Linked DNA regions of Caenorhabditis elegans. The protein of the gene in region 4 purifies or fractionates together with the protein of the main gene of each other region. This does not show direct contact. Each region holds a gene or a part of one and is shown on either strand. Other genes may lie near its edges. The genes, in order: srbc-68, F53F4.15, emc-2 and T21D12.12.

Region 1 (4,572 bases), on a different chromosome or scaffold from region 4:
CGATTTTCAAGAATTCGTTGAGTACGTAGGCTAAAGTTTTGAACAAAAAAATCCAAATTTGTTTTCAGAAAATTTTCATCTAGAATCTTAAACTACGAATCTTACATCTCAGTCGCCAGTTTTTTCATAAACATATTCCATTTCATAATTCTAACCCGAAAACCAATCAGAACTTCTTCAGTGAATATTATAATGACAGCAATTGCCATAGTTGAAATTTTATCCCTATTTTATAACTTTAAAACATCAATTCTCTATTGGCTCCGTACCAATTATAAATGCTTCAACTCAAATTCACATGCTTCCGTTCTAATTGACCTGTGCTTTATCAAACTCAGAGATTTTGCTCGACGATGCTCTCCGTGGCTCTGCTTGTCAATCGCCATGATCCGAGCACTTGTGATTCGTAATCCAATGAGCCAAAAGTTTGAAAAGTTATCTATGCCAAGAGCATCTGTTGTAGTTATTTTTGGAATTTTGTCAATTAGCTTGTTCATGGATATTTTGGATTTTTTCGGCTATAAAATTGCTTCCCAGAAAAATTATTCACCATGCTCCAAAGACGATAAGCTAGAATATGCCATTCTTCTATCAAAGTTGTACTCCAAAAATGACGGGTTTCTGATAAAACTATATTCCACATCAAATGCAATGATTTCTCATGTAAGTTTTTTTAAAACTGTAATGGTACCGTGGGTATACTGTATGATTACTGTAGTTTCAGAAATATGAGCTTTCGTTTTTGTAAGAGATATTTGGGGATAGTGTCGGGGTACTGTAGTAGTACTTTAGGGGTACTGTAGGAGTACTATAAGATTACTGTAGTAATTGAGGTTTTGTCTTTTGAAGAGACAGTGCCGAGTTACTGTAATAGTGATGTAGGAGTACTGTAGGAATACTGTAATTCTAGAAATTTGAGTTATTGTTTTTTCAAAAGAATAGTGAGGGATAGTGGCGGGGTACTGTAATGGTACTGTGGAAGTAATGTCGTAATAGGACTACTGTAGCTCTATTTATTTGATTTTTTGTTTTATGAAAAGATAGTGTCGGGTACTGTAGGAGTCCGAAGTGGTACAGTAGGGGTACTGTAGGGACACTCTAGGAGTACTGTAGAATTATTTTAGTTCTAGAAAAATTTAGTTTCTGTTTTTACAAGAGATACTTGGAGATAGTATCGGGGTACTGTAGAAGCTGTAGGATTACTTTAATACTGGAAATTTGAGTTTTTTCATTTGAAGTGATAGTGGGGATAGTGTCAAAGTAGTGAGGGGTTACTGTAAGGGTTACTGTAGATCGCAACAAATTTTCAGATCATTCCTTCGATTCTCTTTCCTATAGTCACATTTTTTCTTGTAAACGTCCTACGAAAAGCTAAAAAATCTCGGAAACTGGTATCCAAGACCGATAGTAATACGAAGTCTACAAAAATCATAATCTATACAGCGATTATTTTTCTAATTGTTGAGCTTCCACTTGGAATCAATCTGGCGATCATTTGGTTTTTCAATAATTCCGTTGGAATCAAGTAAGTTTGACGGCAAAAAATTGGCTGAAACAGCTAGCTTTTCAGGCTGATTCTTGATCAATTTGAAGCTCTTTTTTATATGCTACTTACCGCAAACACAATTTCCCATTTCTTTGTTTGTTTCGTCTTGTCTTCACAATACAGGGCAACACTGATAGATGTAGTGTCGTGCGGGATAAGTTTCCAGGTAGGAATAATTTTGAGCGAATTTGAAAAAGGAGCCGGTATGAACTCAATAAATTTTCAGAAGAACAGAATTGGAAATCTTTGCAAAAGTCGAAAAAGTTCACAACAAAATGTTATAACAGTAAATGCAATATCAATATGATCCATCATCTTTATAAGTCACCAAAGTATTATTTTCCATAAAATGAAGCAGCGTCCGACAAATGGCGGGTTCTGGCTCCCAAGTAATAATAATTTTTCGTCCAGTAATCAAACAATTCCTTCTAACATTGAACTTTTTTATTATTTTAGTTAGAGTAAGAATAAAACCCTATACAACTACTTGTGGTTGTGAAATAACTGCACAACGGAAATTATCTCATATTCTAGTGAGGCTTGTCACAAATGCTATCGATACTATTGTAGAACTTGCTGATAGCTGAGAAACGTCTGAAACCCTACGAAAAGTAACTTCTGTTCACAAAAACATTTTACTATTAAAGAGCCCAGAATAATGTCAACTATTGTTTTTATATATTCCTTTATTACTGTCATAGTCTGTTACTCAAATATTTGCCTAAATTTGATCCTTTTATTAGCAATTTTCTGCTCTAAAAGAGTCACTTTCAAATCTGAATTGTCTCTTTTCTATACAAGATTTGCTGCAGATATTGGATACAGTATTTCTAGTAAGTTTTTGAAAATCTAATTCAATTCAATTTTGATTCAGTTAGTAATTTCAAATTGTACATTTTGGCGGTTATGATTTCGGAAATATTTGCCGTTAAAAATTTCATTTTCATCACACTATGGCTTACTATTATATTTGGAATCATTCGAACAAGTCTATTATTTTTAACTACTTTGGATCGAGTCATTTCTCTATTCTTCCCTTTCTTCTATTGCGCAAACCGTAGCAAACTTCCACTATTTGCCATTTTTATTCTAATTTTTTCCTTGATAATTTTCGATCAAATTATCATGTTCGGATATTGTGGGAATACTATTGATACTCCCATGAACTGCGACCATTTCCGTTGTTCTTTCAATGAGTGCTACAGTATTTATTGGGTAGAGCACGAAAAAATTGTATTCAGTATGATCGTCGTTTTGACAGTATTGCAATTAGGGAAACTTGTTGTTTACACTGTTCTTGCACAGAACCAATCGGCTCAAGTTTATTCAAGAGTAAGGTGCTGTACCTTTAAAATATAAGCAATTCATAAATTTAAGGCTACCCAAATAGCTATGCTTGACTCAACAACTCTTATTTTATTCAATCTTGTTCCGGTCATGTCTACTTTTTGGTTTGAATCAGCTGATTATGAAACGTATTCGTCGTTTGCAACTCTCTCTAGAAATCTTGGATTTTTAATCAACACATTGATCATTTTTCGAATATTCATGAGAGATAAAAATAATACAGTGACAGCATTAACATCACCCAATTCTTAAGAACTTAATTTTTTTAAAATAAATGAATAAAATTGCTTCAAACTATTGCTTTTGGTTTTTTAGTAAATGTGTAAAGAATTGTACGTTGAAGGTCGCATAAAAAACTACCTTCAAATTATTAATTAATCCTATTTTTATCGACTGACGTTCTTGTTGTTTTTTTTAATTTTTATATTAACACATTAACACAAAAGATAAATTATCCAATTTGATAAAAATGAAATCCCGGCAGCGTCGTTTGAGTAATGTTTTTGCCTAGCCTGTCTGCACTTCATTTTAAAAATGCAATTATTATTGGTTTTATAGTAACAATGAAACGCATTCATATTTAATGCACTTTCTGTTCTTGGCCTGTACAATTAAGCTATTAGACAACTGCGTGAAAGGTATCTGCTGAACGGAAATTAACTAATATATTATTTACACAAAAGTTGAGTATTATTATCTTTTTGTCCCTAACAATAACATTATGTTTCCTATTTTCACAGTCATAACCAGTTACGTAACAGTCTATGAAATCGTGAGAAAAGCTAGATAATTGAATATTTTAAGATGTTATACTTTTTTTTTATTTTCAGTTTTCACAGACAATACTAATAAACAAAGTCTACGAGAGTCTCTAAAATCGTGAGAAAAAACTAGACATATTTGTTTCAATACTTGAGAACTGGACTTTTAGCTCTTGCTAGTACAAAAAATCAGTATTAATGTCAGTTATTATTATCATTAACTCTATGATAAATATTCTAGTTTGTTACTCAAATATATGCTTCAATTTGATCCTTTTATTAGCAATTTTTTGCCTCAAAAAAATCACTTTTAAATCAGAATTATCCCTTTTTTATACAAGATTTGTTGTAGATATTGGATACAGTTTTTCAAGTAAGTTACCGAAAATCTACCGAATTAATTTTTGGTTCAGTTAGTATATTCAAAATGTATATATTGGCGATTATAGCCTCAAACATATTTGCCGTCAAAAATTTTATATTTTTCTCAATGTGGTCTAATATTATGTTTGGAACTATTCGTACAAGTCTCTTATTTTTAACTTCTTTGGATTGTTTTCCATTTACATTTTTATTTTTTTCCTGATATTATTTGATCAATTTATCATGTTTGGATACTGTGAGAATACTATTGATACTCCCATTGATTGCGACAATTTTCTTTGCTCTTTTAATGAGTGCTACATTATGTATTGGGTGAAAAATGAACAAATTGTGTTCAGTATGATTGTAGCTTTGACTATATTGCTATCAGTGAAGCTTGTAGTTTACACTGTCCTCGCACAAAATCAATCGGCTCAAGTTTATTCAAGAGTAGGTTGACTTTAATAGAAAATTAACGTAAAATTATGTATAATAATTCCAGGCTACCCAAATAGCTATGTTCGACTCGACGACTCTTATTTTATTTAATCTTAT
Region 2 (4,269 bases), on a different chromosome or scaffold from region 4:
GAATAAAACTACATAGAAATTCACTTTTTTGTTGAAAAATTATCAATTTTACCAATTTTTGTGATTTTCGGTGATTTTCTAAATTTTGAAAAATTGAGTTGAATCTTTCATTCTACCCATAAAAGAACTAATTTTTCTTGACTTCATGACTTTTATTCCAGATGAGTTTACCCTGGTATCACCTGGAACGGCCTGCTCGAATGACCTTGCTACGAGCTTATTATACTGTATGTGCACTCACATATCCTACATATGTGGCGATCAACTACAAAAGTTATATTCCAGACAGAGCACAGGTAAAATTAAATCTAATTAGTTGCAGTTAATGAAATATATTTAGGTTCTTGGCGGAAAATCACTTCGTGACGAGATTCTACATCCGGCAATCGTCAAAAACTAGATCTATCGATGTGCAATTCCTCATCATTCTCCGAATTTTTGTCAAATACGAGTATTTTTCCGCCATTATCATTGGTTTTGAGTTTTCCCCCATAGGCCCTTTTCGTTTTTTTCTTTTAGTTTTTAGTCGTTGTTTGTTATCATTTTAAATTTATTCATTCATTAAAATTATTTAATTATGGATTGATGAAATAGTTAGAATAACGATACAATCCCCAGACTGGCTTGTTGGGATTGTAGCCATAATTAGGATAATATGGAATATTATCATCATAGACAGTTGGAAGATTTTGTTGAAGAAATAGACGATCATAGAATCCTGTCCGAGCAAATGCAGACGGAGCTCCACGAAGATTTGCTTCACGATCTTCCCGTTCTTCTACTTCAAAAAGTAATATTAAATTCTACAACTTCTCCGTGAAACCTACAAATCTCGGCAGCAGTTTTATCATGTTCACATGGCCAGACTTTACGAAAATTGACTCTTTCCGGAAGGCACATTCGACCAGGTGGCATTTCAATAGAATAACCAATCAGGAGAGTGAAGCAAAGAATAGAGAGATGAAGAGAAAACATTATTGATAATCATACAATGGGAAAGAGAAATATGGAAAAGACGATTAGGTGAAAAACTTCAAGAAAACACGATTTTTTGGTGATATCTCAGTGATCTCGACAGATTGAAAAATATGGGCGAACTGGATTCGCAATGCATTTTTGTATGTAATAAAGTTAATTGAAAATTAACTTTAAAAATATAAATAGTTCAGATTTATCAGGTTTTCCAAATAACAACATAATTTTTGAATAACGATGCATTAGGTTGTAGGTTGGATTTAACTTCTACCGTTTCACTTCCAATTTCTCAGCGTAAAAGCCAATCGTTATTTACCTCTGAAAGAGAACAAGAATGAATTCTTAAAACTTGCCTATATTTTTCTCATAAAATTTTGTAATTCGTGGACATCGCCTTAACCAAATGTATTATTACGAGATCACTACTTTCTGAGAATGCGTGTTGTGCAACATATCTGACGCGCAATATATCTCGTAGCGAAAACTACAGAAAATATTTAAATTACTACTGTAGCGCGAAATATTTTGCGCAATACGCATTCTAGACATCTAAAGATAAGAATTTTCGCCACATCTTAAATACTTATGCGCACGGTCTCGCCACGCTGACAACGAGTTACTGTAATAATGCATTATAATTTTCGTTTCAAATGAAACATTGCTTCTAAAATTTTTAAATAAAAACATGATCAGTCATAAATCAGCACGAGTTACAGTAGTCAGTAGTCAGCGTGGCGAGACCCAAGCGCGTAAGATATGGCAAAAATTATCATCTTCAGACATCTATGTAATAGATTTAATATGATTAAGGCGTCGCTATTTTGATGATCTGTAAATTTTTTTTGACAATTGTCTAGAACATCAAGTTAACTTAATGTTCTAGACTATTGATATAATACGAAACGACACAGATATATCCCAGACTATGAGTAATTCAAACAGTACATATATTCTCAGGTACGCCAGACGCTTTCTACTGAATGAAGCAATTAACAGCTCTGAGAGCCATCACGAGGAAGCATAAATAGAGATATCTTACGTGCACATGATGTGTTTTCCTTCCTTTTTCGAAAAGTCGAGTGAATAGATATGATAATTGTTTACTTTTTTACGGATTACGGAAAATCTAGTTCCCAAAAAATTATTTATTTTGCAAAATTCTTAGCATTCCTTAGAACAATATAATCATTCTGTAACCATAATCTTCACAGTCATCGTTCCAGTGAAGCCTTAAAATAAAGATTTTCTTTCTATTGAAAAATTTATATTTAAGAGAGAGCTTTTACCATTTTTTTTTTCACTTTCAGAAAAACTTGAAAAATGCTGGACTCTATCACATTATTCTTCCTTTCTTTCCATACGTTTGCCGGAGTTTCTGGCTGCATTCTCAATTCAATTGTGCTCTTTTTGGCACTTTTTCGGACTCCGAAGGTTAGTTTTTCGTGAAAAATCTTTGAACTAATCATAAAATATAGATTAAAATCAAAATTTGAGAGCTTTAGTTCCCAGTTTGGTAAAAACTGTGCAAATCTCGTAATATAGGCTCAGCTTTCTACAGAACTCTGCCATTATAACTAGGTGTGGGATAGCTGGAAATGTTCTGCAGAAATTCCTCATCACATAGACAAGCAATTTCAACCTTCAAACATCAGTTTCCATTTCCAGACAATCGCCGCTTACACCACAATTCTCATAAACTTTGCATTGACCGATTTCCTCGCCTGTTTCACAGATCTTTTCATTCAAATGCGGCATATTCCGGCTGGATTTACAATGGCTTATTTGTCACGTGGACTGTGCACTTATTTTGGACCCCATGTCTGCTATTTTATGTACACCATAATACATATTCCCCGACACGCTTCATTTTCTTAATTTCAGATACAGCATAAACATTTCATTAGTAGCTCATGGTCTATGGTCATTGCTAATGGGGTTCTCATATCGATATTATATCCTGTTTCATCCGGCACCAACGAGAAAAGCTTTGATAGTAATTCTTATGTTTATATCAATTCCGTCAATTATCCAAATGGTAATAATGTGAAACAATTTAGATTTCAAGCTGATACTTTTAAGATAACATTTCTGTGGGCAGACGATGACGCAGATGAAATGAAGCGAATTGTCGTCGAACGATTTCCGGAATATCAACTTCAAAACGAAACTATTTGCGGAACAATTAATATTATTGAGTTTTCTGCAATGTTCACAATTCTACATATGACGTGCCCAATAACACCAGTCTACATAACTATTTGGATATTAAGAAAAAAGATTATTGAGAACCTTACTTCTAATTCAAAGGATATGTCATCAAAAACTAAAGAAATGCATAAGCAGCTATTGAAGGTATGGGCGTTCGGGTAATAACAAAACGATTACGGTTGATGCATGATGCTTTCTTTTATGGTTGGGGTGGAATGAGCAATGTATCATAAAACATGACAACATTCGCATCCAAGTTAGACTAAAAGAACTTTGCTTAGCAGCTGGTTAGATTTGGACAAAATTTGAGTAGAAGTATGGTGAGTAGAAGTAATAAACTTGGCAAAAAAGTTTGAACCTATGTTCTAGGTTCCTAGGATCGCCCGTAGTCCGCCTTCGTCAGTGAGCTAATTATTAAAAAACCTTACTTTTAGTTCAAAAAATTACCAGATATCATGTAGGATTTCGGTGGCAACTTATTTTTGTTGCACTTATCAAGTTGCCTCCGAGACGATTGAAATTTTTCAAACAATTGATTTCTGCATTAAAAACGTGACGAAATGCTTACGAATTACTTCAAACGCCAAAACCTTTCAGGCTCTCACATGGCAAGCCATGATCCCTGGCTTTTACGGAATGAGCATTGTATCTTACGTCATTGGGCAATTCTTTTTCAATCACCCCGTATTTGAATATCTCACGCTCACAGGATTCCTTTTTATGCCTGTTCTTTCTCCACTCTCTTGCCTGATATTTATTCAAATTTACCAGAAACGAGTTCTATCATGGTGAGCTTGAAACAATTATTAAAAAATAATTCCTATTTTCAGGTGGTACAAAATGATTGGAAATCCAATTCCAGATGAGTGGCTTACAGTGTTGAATGCGACTAGAACCAATGCAACATCAAGTGTCGCTCCTTCAAATGAAATCAAATCTAAACATTGAAATTGAACTAATCGATCTTTTATTTTATCAGCACGTTTTTTGTACCTACTAACCACCCCTTATCAACTTATATAATCCCAATAATATTCTCCACTTTGCAGTCACTTTTCTGTCATTTTATTTTAAAATGAAAACTAA
Region 3 (7,442 bases), on a different chromosome or scaffold from region 4:
TGATTTTGATAAGATTGGGTCTGCTGGACTACAAACTACAAAATTTGATTTAGCAGACCAAAGTGGTTTTGAAGAGATTTGGTCTGCTAGGCTACAAACTACAAGTTTTGATTTAGCAGACCCAATTCTATGGGTCTGCTAGACTACAAACTACAATTTTCAATTTAGCAGACCCAAGTAGTTTTAAATAAATTTGGTCTGCTAGACTACAAACTACAAGTTTCGATTTAGCAGACCCAAGTAGTTTTGAAGAAATTGGGTCTGCTAGGCTACAAACTACAAGTTTCGATTTAGCAGACCCAAGTAGTTTTGAAGAAATTTGGTCTGCTAGACTACAAACTACAAGTTTCGATTTAGCAGACCCAAGTAGTTTTGAAGAAATTGGGTCTGCTAGGCTACAAACTACAAGTTTCGATTTAGCAGACCCAAAATGCTGAGATTTCAGGCAATTTTTTTGGAATTTTTAACTTTTTTTTTTGAGAAATCTATGAAATTCGCGATTTTAATGCCATTTTCCCCTCGAAAAAAAAATCATTTTTATCCCAATTTTTTCAGGGTAACGTCTCCCTCTGGAAGCCATCGAACACCGCCGTGCTCTCCAATTATATAATCTACGAACTCCTCGAGGAAGCTGGTATGCCACCTGGAATTCTCTCATTCTTGCCATCAGATGGCCCCGTTTTCGGTGACGTCATCACCGCATCTCCACACTTGAGCGCTGTCAATTTCACTGGCTCCGTGCCAACTTTCAAGACGATTTGGAGAAAAGTCGCCGAGAATTTGGATAACTATGTGACTTTTCCGAAACTCATCGGAGAATGCGGCGGAAAAAACTTCCACTTTGTGCATCCATCCGCCCACGTGGACGCTGTCGCCGCTGGAACCGCCCGTTCCGCCTGGGAATATTCGGGACAAAAGTGCTCGGCGTGCTCCAGGATGTACGCGCCAAAATCGATTTGGCCAAAGATTCTCGAGAAAATCTCGGCGATTCACAAAGAGATCAAGCTTGGAGATGTAGGCCACTGTTTGGCTTGCCGATTTTTGTGTAGTTTGTAGTTTACAGGTTCGCGATGGATCCGTCTTTCTGTCGGCTGTGATCGATGATAAGGCGTTTGCCAGGCTCAAGGCCTACATTGACTTTGCGAAAACCGGAGCCGACGGAGCAAATGTGGTGCTCGGCGGAAAATGTGACGACAAAACGGGATACTTCATCGAGCCGACCCTGATCACTGTGACGGATCCGAAGAGCAAGCTTCTCACTGAGGAAATGTTCGGACCGGTGGTGACGGTACTGGTCTACGAGGATTCGAAGGTTGATGAGGTGCTCGCGACTGTGAAAGACGCGACACCTTATGGGCTGACTGGCGCCGTTTTTTCGCAGGATAAGGAGTTCCTTTATAGGTTGGCAACTACAAAAAATACAAGTTTTTGCACAGGTTTTCAGGGACTCAAAAATTTTATCTAAAAACCCAGCGGAAAGAAGAAAAACTCGAATTTTCGGGTTTGTTATGTTCAAAAATGCTGAAATTCAACATTTTAGGCACAAGAAAACTGCCAAAAGTCGATTTAAAATTATTCCCGGAAAATTCGAAATCTTGAAATTCTGTTTTTTCGGCAATTTTCAAGAAATTTCTCTATAACCGAACAAAATAGGTTAAAAAATGTCGAAAAACGATAATTACACAATTTCTCCAATAAAAACCCTCGAATTTCGTCACAAATCAAATGAAAAGCTAGAAAAACTGGCAAAAATCGAAAAAAAAAAGCGATAACAACAAACAAAAAATTTGAAAGCGACAGTAAGATGTTCCTGAGCGTGGCGAGACCCAACAGTGAAAGTGTGTGTCCCTTTAAAGGGCTACGGTATTTTTTATTGGAATTTTTGTTGGATTTCGATCGATTTTTCGAGATTTTTGAGGCGAATTTTTGTGTTAAAAACGTTTTTCAACAAAGTGTTTTTTTTTCTCAGAGCTCGCGATGTTCTCCGCGACGCCGTCGGCAACATGTACCTCAACGACAAATCAACTGGATCAATCGTCGGCCAGCAGCCATTCGGAGGCTCCAGATTGTCCGGAACCAATGATAAGGCCGGTGGCCCCCACTATGGGCTCCGATGGACCTCGCCGCTGACGATTAAGGAGACGTCGGTGTCATTGACTGACTGGAAATATCCATCAATGGAATAATTATGTTGTTTTTTTCTTTTCATTTCCGATTTTTCTCATATTGAGAATATAGTTTTCTTTTTGATTAGGTCAACAATTATTGCTTTACCACTGAATTTTAATTTTTTTTCCCCCGTGATCGCATAATAAATTTTGTTTTTTTTCCTTTTTTCCAGCTATAACCGTTTATTTTATAGTTTTCTCGCTATTTTTATACCTTCCAACCGAACTTTTCCATTAAAAAGTTGGAAAAAATCAATATTTTTCAGAAATTTCCCTCCCGAAAATGGTTGAAACCGAGTGGACGCAAGTCTCTTACGATGGTAACATTCTACAATATTCAAATTTTGAAAAAAAAATCGATAAATGCTTGCAGAAGGACGTCAAGCGCTGAAAAAGTGGCGAGAATGCGGAGTTCGACGAAGTGATGAGGTCGTCGAAATTTGGGAGCACGTTATTTCACGCTCACCGGCTTCTCTTGGAGACGAGCAATGGGCTGTGTTGGAGCAGGTGCTGAAATTTTGTCGAAAAACGCTGAAAATCCTGAAAATCTGGCTTTGAATAGAAAAAAACCATAGATTTTCTGGTTTTTTTGGTGAAAAGCATATTGGTCTGCTAGACTACAAACTACAGTATTATATTTAGCAGACCCACGCTTTTTTCTAAGTTATCACGTTTCTGGTTGATTAATAGTGAAAATAATACAAATTTCGGCGAAAAACTGGAAAAAATCAATAAAAACGGTCATTTTTTACTGAAAAAATGATTATTTTCGAGAAAAAATTCAATAATTTGGGTCTGCTAGACTACAAACTACAAATTCATATTTAGCAGACCCAAGTGGTTTCGATGAAATTTGGTCTGCTAGGCTACAAACTACAAATTCATATTTAGCAGACCAATGTAGTTTTGAGGAGATTTGGTCTGCTAGACTACAAACTACAAGCTTCGATTTAGCATACCCATACTCATTTTTCACGAGAAAATCGAATTTTCACCTAATTTTTCCAATTTTTTTCAGGTGTGCATCGCAGCACTCGACGCGGCTCGTGTCGATCTGGCTCAGGATTGCATTGACCAACTTCACGCACAATTTCCGAAGAGTAATCGAGTTTTGAAGCTGAAAGCGATGCAGTTGGAATCTACGGAACATTATCAGAAGGCGTTGGATATTTATGAGCGACTGGTTGAGGATGAGCCCAATAATAATGTAAAAAATTCAGGAAATTTTTTTTTTGCAAAATTTCTAATAATTTGAATTTTCAGAGCTTCCGCAAGCGAAAAGTCGCGGTTCTTCTCGCTCAGGGAAAGCGTCTCGACGCAATTCGAGCTATCAACGATTACCTGAAGGTTTTCATTTGATTTCTAGAAAAAAAAAACTCTAAAATTTATTAATTTTCAGATTTTCCTGAACGACCCAGAAGCTTGGCTTCAGCTCAGCGAGCTTTTCCTGCTCGAAAATGACGTGGCAAAGGCGGTACATTGCCTGGAGGAGTGTGTGCTCATTTCGCCGCTGAATTCCATGTATTTCAGACGATTAGCCGATTTGAGATATACTCAAGTATGTGTGTGGAAAATTGGAGAAATTTGGGCCTGCTGGGGGCTACAAACTACAATTCATATTTAGCAGACCCAAATACATTTTCAATGGAAATTGGTTTTTTCTCGTTTTTCTACTTTTTTTTTTGAAGAAAAAAAATCGAAAATTGTCAGTTTTCCGTCAAAAAAATGTCAGAAAAACAAATTTTCAACGAAAATATATTATTTTAATGCAAAAAATGAAGAAATTTTTAAAAAATATAGAGAAATTACCGAAAATGATTGAAAATTGATTTTTTTTAAGGAAAACTAAAAAAAATTGAACGGTCTGCTACAATGCAAACTACAAAGTACAATGTTCGATTTAGCAGACCCAAGTGATTTTGAAAAAATTGGTCTGCTGGACTACAAACTACAAGTTTCGATTTAGCAGACCCAAGTGATTTCAATTCGAAATTGGTCTGCTAGACTACAAACTACAATGTTCGATTTAGCAGACCCAAGTGATTTTGAAAAAAATTGGTCTGCTAGACTAAAAACTACAATGTTCGATTTAGCAGACCCAAGTGATTTTGAAAAAAATTGGTCTGCTAGACTACAAACTACAATGTTCGATTTAGCAGACCCAAGTGATTTTGAAAAACTTGGTCTGCTGGACTACAAACTACAAGTTTCGATTTAGCAGACCCAAGTGATTTTGAAAAAATTGGTCTGCTGGACTACAAACTACATATTCATATTTGGCAGACCCAAGTGATTTTGAAAAAAATTGGTCTGCTAGACTACAAACTACAATGTTCGATTTAGCAGACCCAAGTGATTTTGAAAAACTTGGTCTGCTGGACTACAAACTACAAATTTCGATTTAGCAGACCCATGTGATTTTGAAGAAATTCGGTCTGCTAGACTACAAACTACATATTCATATTTGGCAGACCCAAGTGATTTTGAAAAAAATTGGTCTGCTAGACTACAAACTACAATGTTCGATTTAGCAGACCCAAGTGATTTCAATTCGAAATTGGTCTGCTAGACTAAAAACTACAATGTTCGATTTAGCAGACCCAAGTGATTTTGAAAAAAATTGGTCTGCTAGACTACAAACTACAATGTTCGATTTAGCAGACCCAAGTGATTTCAATTCGAAATTGGTCTGCTAGACTAAAAACTACAATGTTCGATTTAGCAGACCCAAGTGATTTTGAAAAAAATTGGTCTGCTAGACTACAAACTACAATGTTCGATTTAGCAGACCCAAGTGATTTCAATTCGAAATTGGTCTGCTAGACTAAAAACTACAATGTTCGATTTAGCAGACCCAAGTGATTTTGAAAAAAATTGGTCTGCTAAACTACAAACTACAATGTTCGATTTAGCAGACCCAAGTGATTTCAATTCGAAATTGGTCTGCTAGACTAAAAACTACAATGTTCGATTTAGCAGACCCAAGTGATTTTGAAAAAAATTGGTCTGCTAGACTACAAACTACAATGTTCGATTTAGCAGACCCAAGTGATTTCAATTCGAAATTGGTCTGCTAGACTAAAAACTACAATGTTCGATTTAGCAGACCCAAGTGATTTTGAAAAACTTGGTCTGCTGGACTACAAACTACAAATTTCGATTTAGCAGACCCATGTGATTTTGAAAAAATTGGTCTGCTGGACTACAAACTACATATTCATATTTGGCAGACCCAAACTATATTTTTTGCAGGGAGGCGCCGAAAACGTGGAATTGGCTCGTTCCTACTACGAACGTGCGCTCAAAATCAACCCAACCGATTTGAGATCTCAATACGGAATTCTATTGGTAAGTGTAGTTTGTAGTTTGTAGTTTGTAGTTTGTAGTCTATATTAATGTTTCAGAGCAACAATTTGATCGCGGCGACCACCAAAAATGCGACGGAAAAGAAGAAAGCCGGAGCTGCAGCAGTTGATGCAATCGATAATTTGGTTAATCGTTATCAGAAGGTAGATTTTGATAAAATTAATAGTTTTTAATTGGAAAAAGCTCTAAAAACTCCAAAAAATGCCGAATTTCGGCTGTTTTTTCTTGAATTTTTTGAAAAAAAAATTCGAAAAAAATCGTGATTTTTCTAAAAATAACCTTAAAAAATTCCAGATAAGTCCAAAAAGCAATCCAGAATCGGACGGAATTCTCAATTGCCTCGAAGCCATGAAAGTCACTGTTGGAAGCAAATAAATTGTCAATTTCCTCCCAAAAAATGATATGCTTTACGTACATTCCCCCGAATATTCGATTATTTCCTATTTATTTTCTGTTAAAATTCAATTTTTTTAATGTCTATCGAAAGTATATTTATCGAAAAAAAGAACTCCTCAAGAATAAATAAATGTGATGATTTTTGCCACCGTTTTTGCTCCATTTTAGAGTCTTGGGTCTGCTAAATAGCTTTTTGTAGTTTGTAGTCTGGCAGACCAATTTTTGATAGCAATTTTTAGACTAAAAACTACTTTTTTCTTGAAAATCTTGAATTTTTGCGTTATTTCACATCTATTCCGGTTTTTCCGGCTCCTTTTTGGCGCTGAAATCGATAAGTTGGGTTACTGTAGCCTCAGAAGTACGCAAACACCATGCGACTCACGCAAAAATGCACAGAAACCTGAAAGATGCGCGAAAAAAGCCATACATGGGTAAAAATTTGTGTAGAATTCAATTTTTGTGTCAGAATCGTTTAAAAAATCAGTGAAAAATGATAATTTTCAGAAATGTTGAGCCAAAAAAAAATTATTGATTTTTGTGCATTATCAGTTTTAAATTTGGATTTTTATGTTTTTTCACCCATACGAGACTTTTTCGACTCCATTCGAGTTGTAATAAAAATTTCCGGGTTACTGTAGCCTCAAAAGTACGCAAACATGGAACACTTTACGCAAAAGTGCAGAGAATTCTAAAATTTGCGGAAAAAAGCTGCATAAGGGTAAAAATGTGTGTAGAATTCAATTTTTGATATCAGAATCGATAATAATCAGCGGAAAGTACACAATTTTCGTGCTACAAACTACAAAATCCAATTTTCTCGAATTTTTCCGTAGAATTCCGTATTTTAGTTCCTGAAACTCCCCTAAGAAACAGAGAAAAAGCAAAAAGAGCTCCCTCTTAAGAGGTGCTAATTTGTATAAAAAAGAAAAACAAATTAGCGCGGGGGGGGGGGGGCCTAAAAGGGGCGCTAATTAGCAATTTTGGTCCCCGTCTTCCTCCAAATTTTTGCACGTCTTCAGATTCTGAATGTATTCTGCAATATTCTGAGTACTTCTAATATTTCTAGCATGTTTTGAGATTCTTTTTGGAAACGAAAATTTTCAAACAAATTTTTTTTTGAAAATTTGAAAAAAATTCCAAAAATGGGCATAATTTTGGCGTATTTCCGACGTCCCAAGCTTGATATCGACAGGGTTCGGTCGGTCTGGATGGATCATATCAATGGAAACGATCAGTACTTCCAAGAGGTGAGTTTTTACATATTTTTGCCGATTTGGCCCGACAAAACTGCTTTTACTGGCTAGTTTTCTCAGAATTCTGTATTTTTCGCTGATTTTCTGAAGATTTCATTATCAAAATCGAATTCTACGTCAATTTTTACTCCGATAAGGCTTTTTTCCGCGAATTTTGGAATTATGTGCATGTTTGCGTGAAGTGTTTGGTGTTTGCGTACTTTTGAGGCTACAGTAACCCAAAATATTGATTTTTAAGCTAAATGAGCGGAAAAAAACG
Region 4 (5,522 bases):
AGGGGTAAATATTTGTTGATTCATAATAAAAAATAAAGTACAATTAGATATTGATAAGTTAAAAAAATTTTGAAGTCTCATTATGAAACTCTGTTTTGGAACATTTCCTCTTTAAGCACTTAAATTTAAATTTGAAAAATCGATAATTCAATGTTCAAATAGCAGTAAAAATATTGTGTGGGAGGATTCTTTCCGTAGAGCAACACAAAAGTCCCCATCCAGGCCAGCAGATAGTGTAAAACAGCCGTCGTCAGTGTTGAAAAAGTGAGAGAGTGTTGGGAACAATAAGAGACGTAGAGTTGGAAGGAGAGTTTACGACAAATGAGAGATTGGGTGAAAAGAGGATGGTGCAGATAAATGGTGTGTGTGGGGGAGAGAGAAGGCTTTGGGATACATATAAATGTATGGGAATAGGAAAGAAGAACGGAAAGTTAATATTTGTATATGCATATGTATTGAGAAAGAAAAGGACGTCCATATAACAACTAATATTCAAATAAATAAAAATAAAAATAAATTAAGAAAGACAACAACTCTGCATTTACCGTATTTTCGCTATTAGTCTTGCATGCGAGACTAATTTTCAATTGGTCTTTAGGGGTGCAAGACTAATAGAGACTGAAAACTATTTTTCGAACTTTGGAAAGTGATACAATTTTGACCGTTCAAACAATGAAAAATACATACTTTCCCAATATTACATCAATTATTTGAACGATTTTACATTTGATTTACTCCAAAAATGATAAATTTGCTTACGTTTCCACAAAGTTCTGCTAATATGACAAAAAGTGGGGTGCTAGACTATTACAGGCTGTAAGACTGATTTTCAATTAGTCTGTAGGAGTGCAAGACTAATAGAGGAAATACGGTACAGTCGGTCCACAGGTCGGTCTTTTGAAAATAGTTTTTTCCATAGCAATTTTTGAAAAAATTTTGAAAAACAATTTTAGGAAAAAATTATGAAAAATCACATCAGTTACATTGATTATACGTACGGTACATTCGATTTCCTGGCGTATGATAATAGTTGCATTAAACCGAAATCAGATTAAGAAACATTGAACTAGTAATTGTAAAAATTAGCATGCAATCTAGAAAATTAGGAAATCTGAAAATTATTAAAGGTGGAGTAGGGCCAATGGAGTAAGTGTTAAAAAATACTCCTATGGTGCCAAAGTGACAAATAATCATAATAAAACTTTTCAAAACTTTTTTGAAAAATTTTTATTCACTGTCAAAAAGTGTTCAATATTCAGTTTTTGCCACTCATAATTTTGGAAGTCGACCAAAAAAAATTATTTTTCCTACATTTTTTATACTGTAATTTTGTTTCAATTATTTTTGTTGAATCATTGTAAAGACCGGAATATGCGACATTGCTTTGGATGTCCTCAAAAGCTCATATTTGTCAAAATTTTGGTAATGTGCCAAAACTTTGACCGAAATTAGGGAAAATCTAAAAATTTTTGTAGTTTTATTATGATATTCGGTCGTTTGAAATCATAATAAGCGTATTTAGACAAAATCCCCATTGACGCTACTCCACCTTTAAATTTTTGAAATTTCGTGTACTTCCTTCAAATTTGTTTAATCATCAACCCGATGCGTCTATCCTTCGTTATCAACAAATTGTAGGTGTCTGTGTCAAGAACTATTGTATCTCGTACAATCGAAAAACCAGTTCCTTCATTTTCAAAACGCTCCCTTATTTTCTTTGTTATCAACAATTCGATTTGTAAAAACGGAACCACATCGATTGTTGTCTCTTGTTATTACATCAATTCCTACACCATTTTCAGTCAAAGTGTGGATATTTTCTGAAAACTGAGCGATTTCAGCCAAATATTTGCCTGTTTTTCATTTTTCAATAAAACTTTGCCATGTTTTCAATCGTGCCCATTGATCTTTAATGAATTCTTTTTCGGGAGAATGTGTAGGTTATTTGTTAACCACCAACTCAATTTTGAACATTTTCCTGTTGACCAAACTTTTGATATTTGCCAAATCTTAGTTATGTAGGTGGGACGAAGATTCTTAAGTAAATATTGCTAGGAATTTGAGTATAAAATAGGAAAAGATCATTCGAGAATTGAAGTTTTCTTTTTGGTTTCTGCTTTTAATTGGCATTGGCTAGTAATATTATTCCACTCTCATTGATCATTAACGGGTAAAAAAAATTGTATTTTTTCAGACAATGCTAACTGCAATTACGATTTCCACCATTTTCATAACATTTTGCTTTGCTCAACAGCAGACAGATTGTTTTTCCGCTCGCGATACTGGAAATTCTGGATGTGGTCAGCAGGGAGCCCGCTCATTTTATTTCCACAAGAATACCCGCACATGTCAGCCATTTTTCTATCAGGTACTGTTTTTTCCAGTAGTCCTTTAGCATACTACCTATATTAGGTTTAGGTTTAGGCTTAAGCTTTGGTTTAGAGTTAGGCTGACAAGGGAAGCCTTTCAGCTCGTCCTCGGACTTCCGAATGAAACCTATTATAATTGAAAGAGGACCTTAATAGAAGGTCACTCCAAAATTTTTAGTCTCGGAGGAGGCTTACTAGGGAACCGTCAGAAGGTGCCCATCGGACTTGCATATGAGACCTATGCCATTCGATAACCCATGTCTTAAAACGGTTACTCGTGAATTTTTAGCTGCGAATCTCCAGAACCAAGCTCACGGCGAGCTCTCAAAGATCTTAAAATAGCACTGTAACGAAGCTTTGAAAGGTCAATTTTCCAAATTCACTTTGGTAGCTCATATCTCCGCCGATAAATTTTTTACAGAAAAGTCATCAACTAAAAAGTTGTTGATATTGTTGTAAAGAACAAGTTTTTAGTTAAATCTGAAACAACAATTTTTTTGATAAAAACTTTCAACTACAAGTTTTTATCAAAAAAATTTTTAGTTGATGACTTTTCTGTAAAAAATATATCCACGGAGATATAGGCTACCAAAGTGAATTTGGAAAATTGCTTCTTTTCATCGTTACAGTGCTTCGTTATAGTGCTATTTTAGAATCTTTGAGAGCTCGCAGTGACCTTGGTTCTGGAGATTCGCAGCTAAAAATTCACGAGTAACCGTTTTAAGACATGGGCTATCGAATGGCATAGGTTTCATATGCAAGTCTGATGGGCACCTTCTGATGGTTCCCTAGTTAGGCTTAGGTTTTGTCATAGGCTAAGGTTAGGCTTATGCCCAGGCTAAGGGCCATACTTACGGTATATTCTTAGCTTGTGCTTGAGCTGATGCTAGGAATATACCTTATCTTCTCACAAACGGAAATTTCTCGTTGAATTTAACAGAATAGTATACTTCTTGGAAAAACGTTCAATTAAAATGAATAAAACAATTTTAGGGATGCGACGGCAACTCCAATCGATTCCAATCGAAAGAGGCTTGTGAATCAGCTTGCCGGAACGCGACTGCTTCTGACGATTTAGCTTACGGTTAGTTGAACAATGGATGACAAAGGTGTATAATAGTTTTTCAGCTGTATGTCCATCTGGAGCATACCCAGCTGGAGCCACTTCTGGTCAGACTGTTGGATGTTCGAATTGCCCACATGGTTACGAGTGTCAAAATCAACAATGCTGTCCAACAAAAGGTTACTATTTTCTGAAGAGATTTTGAAAAGTTATAGTGATCTTTAAAACACAAGTTTAAAGCGGTTTGTACTTTGTCTGAACACTGGTGTTTTAGAACTAAAAACTCTGTTTCGATGTGTAAATATTTATTCAAATGTGAAAGAAGCACAACAAAAGATCGAAGAAATTTGCAGAAAACACATGTAGTTTGCAGTACGACGCTGGAAAATTCGGATCTAGTGGAAAACATACACCCAGGTAAGAATTCAACTAATTTTTATTGTACTTTCACGGATTCAATAAATTAAATTTCAGATATTTCTTCTCAAAGTCCTACAAGAACTGCATGCTGTTCACTTTCTATGGCCGCGATGGAAATGCTAACAACTTTGCTACGTACAACGAATGCAAAAACTTTTGCATGTAACATTTTAGCAAATAACAGTAGTTTTCTTAATGTATATAAATATTTCAAACGAAAACAATTTATTTTGCACAAAGACCTATATAAATGAATCATGCAAGTTGATAAAAATTACCAAAAAATCAAGTAAAGACGTGTTTAAATATCTTAATACTAGTTCAAAATAGATATTATTTACAGTAATATCACGGAACAGAGAAACTGGAATATCATAATAACTTCTTGCCACGATTTTAGTGGATAATCAATACATATAAGTACGAATAAACATAGTCATGTACTATATTACGTTAATTGAAAATTTTTCGGTAGCATTTCTAGTTTTATAGTTATACTTATTTGAAAAATTAGTGAAATTATCAAAAAACTAAAAGTGGATATCTTTTCGGCCAGCACTGTAATTGAATGTATTGTTTTCGCAGTTTTTTTAAAAATCATTTTTTATTTTGTTACTTACATTCGAGCGCACCCTTCAGATGTCTGCCGAAATAGCTTTTCTAAAAACTTGTGAAATTGAAAAGAGTTCAAATTTTCGTTGCAAAATCTTTTAATACATTCGGATTAAGAAGAATTTGTGTAAAACAAAAATGCTCAGTTTTCAATGTTTGCATGTTTTGAACAAATGCCTTGTTTAATGTTCTTAAAATCTTTTAAAACCAAAAACTCAAAGTATCAAACGCTATTGAAAACATTTATGTAGTTTAATTCATTCCTTGTTTCAATGCTTCATTCATTGTTTTCTGATCATCCAAAATGTTTGCTTCTTGCGTTATTCGATCATAAAAATAAAACGGTTTCAAAAAGTTCCGCTCGAGGCCAATTTGCAGCAGAGGAAGATGGAAGTGCACGCGCATCGAAGCAGTTTACAACTTCTCATGAAAGTGGAATCAAGACACATCCGTGGAAAATGATTCAGTTGAAGCTACAATTGTGTGAAATTAACGCCTACAAGACAATCTAAACAATCAGAATTGAACTTTCAAGATGTTTTCTTTCCTTTAGACAAAGTTTGTAAAATACTCAATTTTGTTCTATAGTAATTTTTGATAATGCTGTTTTAGGAGTTTCTGTCAATTTCAAAATGCTTCGTCTTCTTATTTTGCCAACAATATTGATAATACCTTTCTCAAATTCATGCATGACAACTTATCCAGCAGACACTCCTATTATGTAAGTTTCATTATTGTTGCCTTAAAATAATATATATATTCCTAAAGAACGCAACCTCCATCTCCAGATTCACCATCATCTTCCAATGGCTCCAGCACCAGTCTTAGCGAAAATTTGAATAACAACTCCGTTTCTAACCAAATCGAATATGTTAATCAAAATAATAATAGTGATAATTTTACAGTCGGCCTAGGATTTTTAGGGGCTTCTGGAAACTATGGAAATTATAGTTCACATTTGAATAATAACCTTTCTATTAGTCAAAATCAAAGCGTTTCCCTAAATTCTTCAAGTTCTAGTGTAGGAGCTGGGTTAACGCCTGGAAACGGATCAGTGG

Evidence for each region.
Region 1: the proteins of T21D12.12 (region 4) and srbc-68 fractionate together in Caenorhabditis elegans (co-fractionation; one large-scale study listed by BioGRID). This does not show direct contact.
Region 2: the proteins of T21D12.12 (region 4) and F53F4.15 fractionate together in Caenorhabditis elegans (co-fractionation; one large-scale study listed by BioGRID). This does not show direct contact.
Region 3: the proteins of T21D12.12 (region 4) and emc-2 fractionate together in Caenorhabditis elegans (co-fractionation; one large-scale study listed by BioGRID). This does not show direct contact.

What each region holds. Positions count from the first base shown.
Region 1 is NC_003283.11:3,544,250-3,548,821, reverse strand, and holds srbc-68 (G-protein coupled receptors family 1 profile domain-containing protein), read left to right. Parts: upstream 1-2,204; coding exon 2,205-2,379; intron 2,380-2,420; coding exon 2,421-2,878; intron 2,879-2,923; coding exon 2,924-3,145; downstream 3,146-4,572. Other genes in the region: srw-130 (G-protein coupled receptors family 1 profile domain-containing protein), read left to right, coding at 1-21, 69-663, 1,311-1,525, 1,571-1,712, 1,773-1,853.
Region 2 is NC_003283.11:13,617,713-13,621,981, reverse strand, and holds F53F4.15 (Neuropeptide-Like Protein), read right to left. Parts: upstream 1,007-4,269; 5' UTR 976-1,006; coding exon 828-975; intron 782-827; coding exon 576-781; 3' UTR 506-575; downstream 1-505. Other genes in the region: F53F4.16 (uncharacterized protein), read left to right, coding at 162-296, 341-400; srd-11 (G-protein coupled receptors family 1 profile domain-containing protein), read left to right, coding at 2,296-2,406, 2,641-2,807, 2,857-3,010, 3,055-3,327, 3,781-3,971, 4,014-4,131.
Region 3 is NC_003280.10:1,301,129-1,308,570, reverse strand, and holds emc-2 (ER membrane protein complex subunit 2), read left to right. Parts: upstream 1-2,434; 5' UTR 2,435-2,451; coding exon 2,452-2,488; intron 2,489-2,541; coding exon 2,542-2,675; intron 2,676-3,019; exon of another isoform or gene 3,020-3,070; intron 3,071-3,186; coding exon 3,187-3,375; intron 3,376-3,431; coding exon 3,432-3,515; intron 3,516-3,567; coding exon 3,568-3,726; intron 3,727-5,420; coding exon 5,421-5,516; intron 5,517-5,572; coding exon 5,573-5,677; intron 5,678-5,828; coding exon 5,829-5,909; 3' UTR 5,910-6,072; downstream 6,073-7,442. Other genes in the region: alh-6 (L-glutamate gamma-semialdehyde dehydrogenase), read left to right, coding at 556-1,014, 1,064-1,401, 1,970-2,186; glb-31 (Globin domain-containing protein), read left to right, coding at 7,073-7,177.
Region 4 is NC_003282.8:264,254-269,775, forward strand, and holds T21D12.12 (BPTI/Kunitz inhibitor domain-containing protein), read left to right. Parts: upstream 1-2,194; 5' UTR 2,195-2,197; coding exon 2,198-2,368; intron 2,369-3,362; coding exon 3,363-3,453; intron 3,454-3,497; coding exon 3,498-3,611; intron 3,612-3,785; coding exon 3,786-3,849; intron 3,850-3,906; coding exon 3,907-4,018; 3' UTR 4,019-4,069; downstream 4,070-5,522. Other genes in the region: crmb-1 (Serine/threonine-protein kinase), read left to right, coding at 5,154-5,185, 5,233-5,522.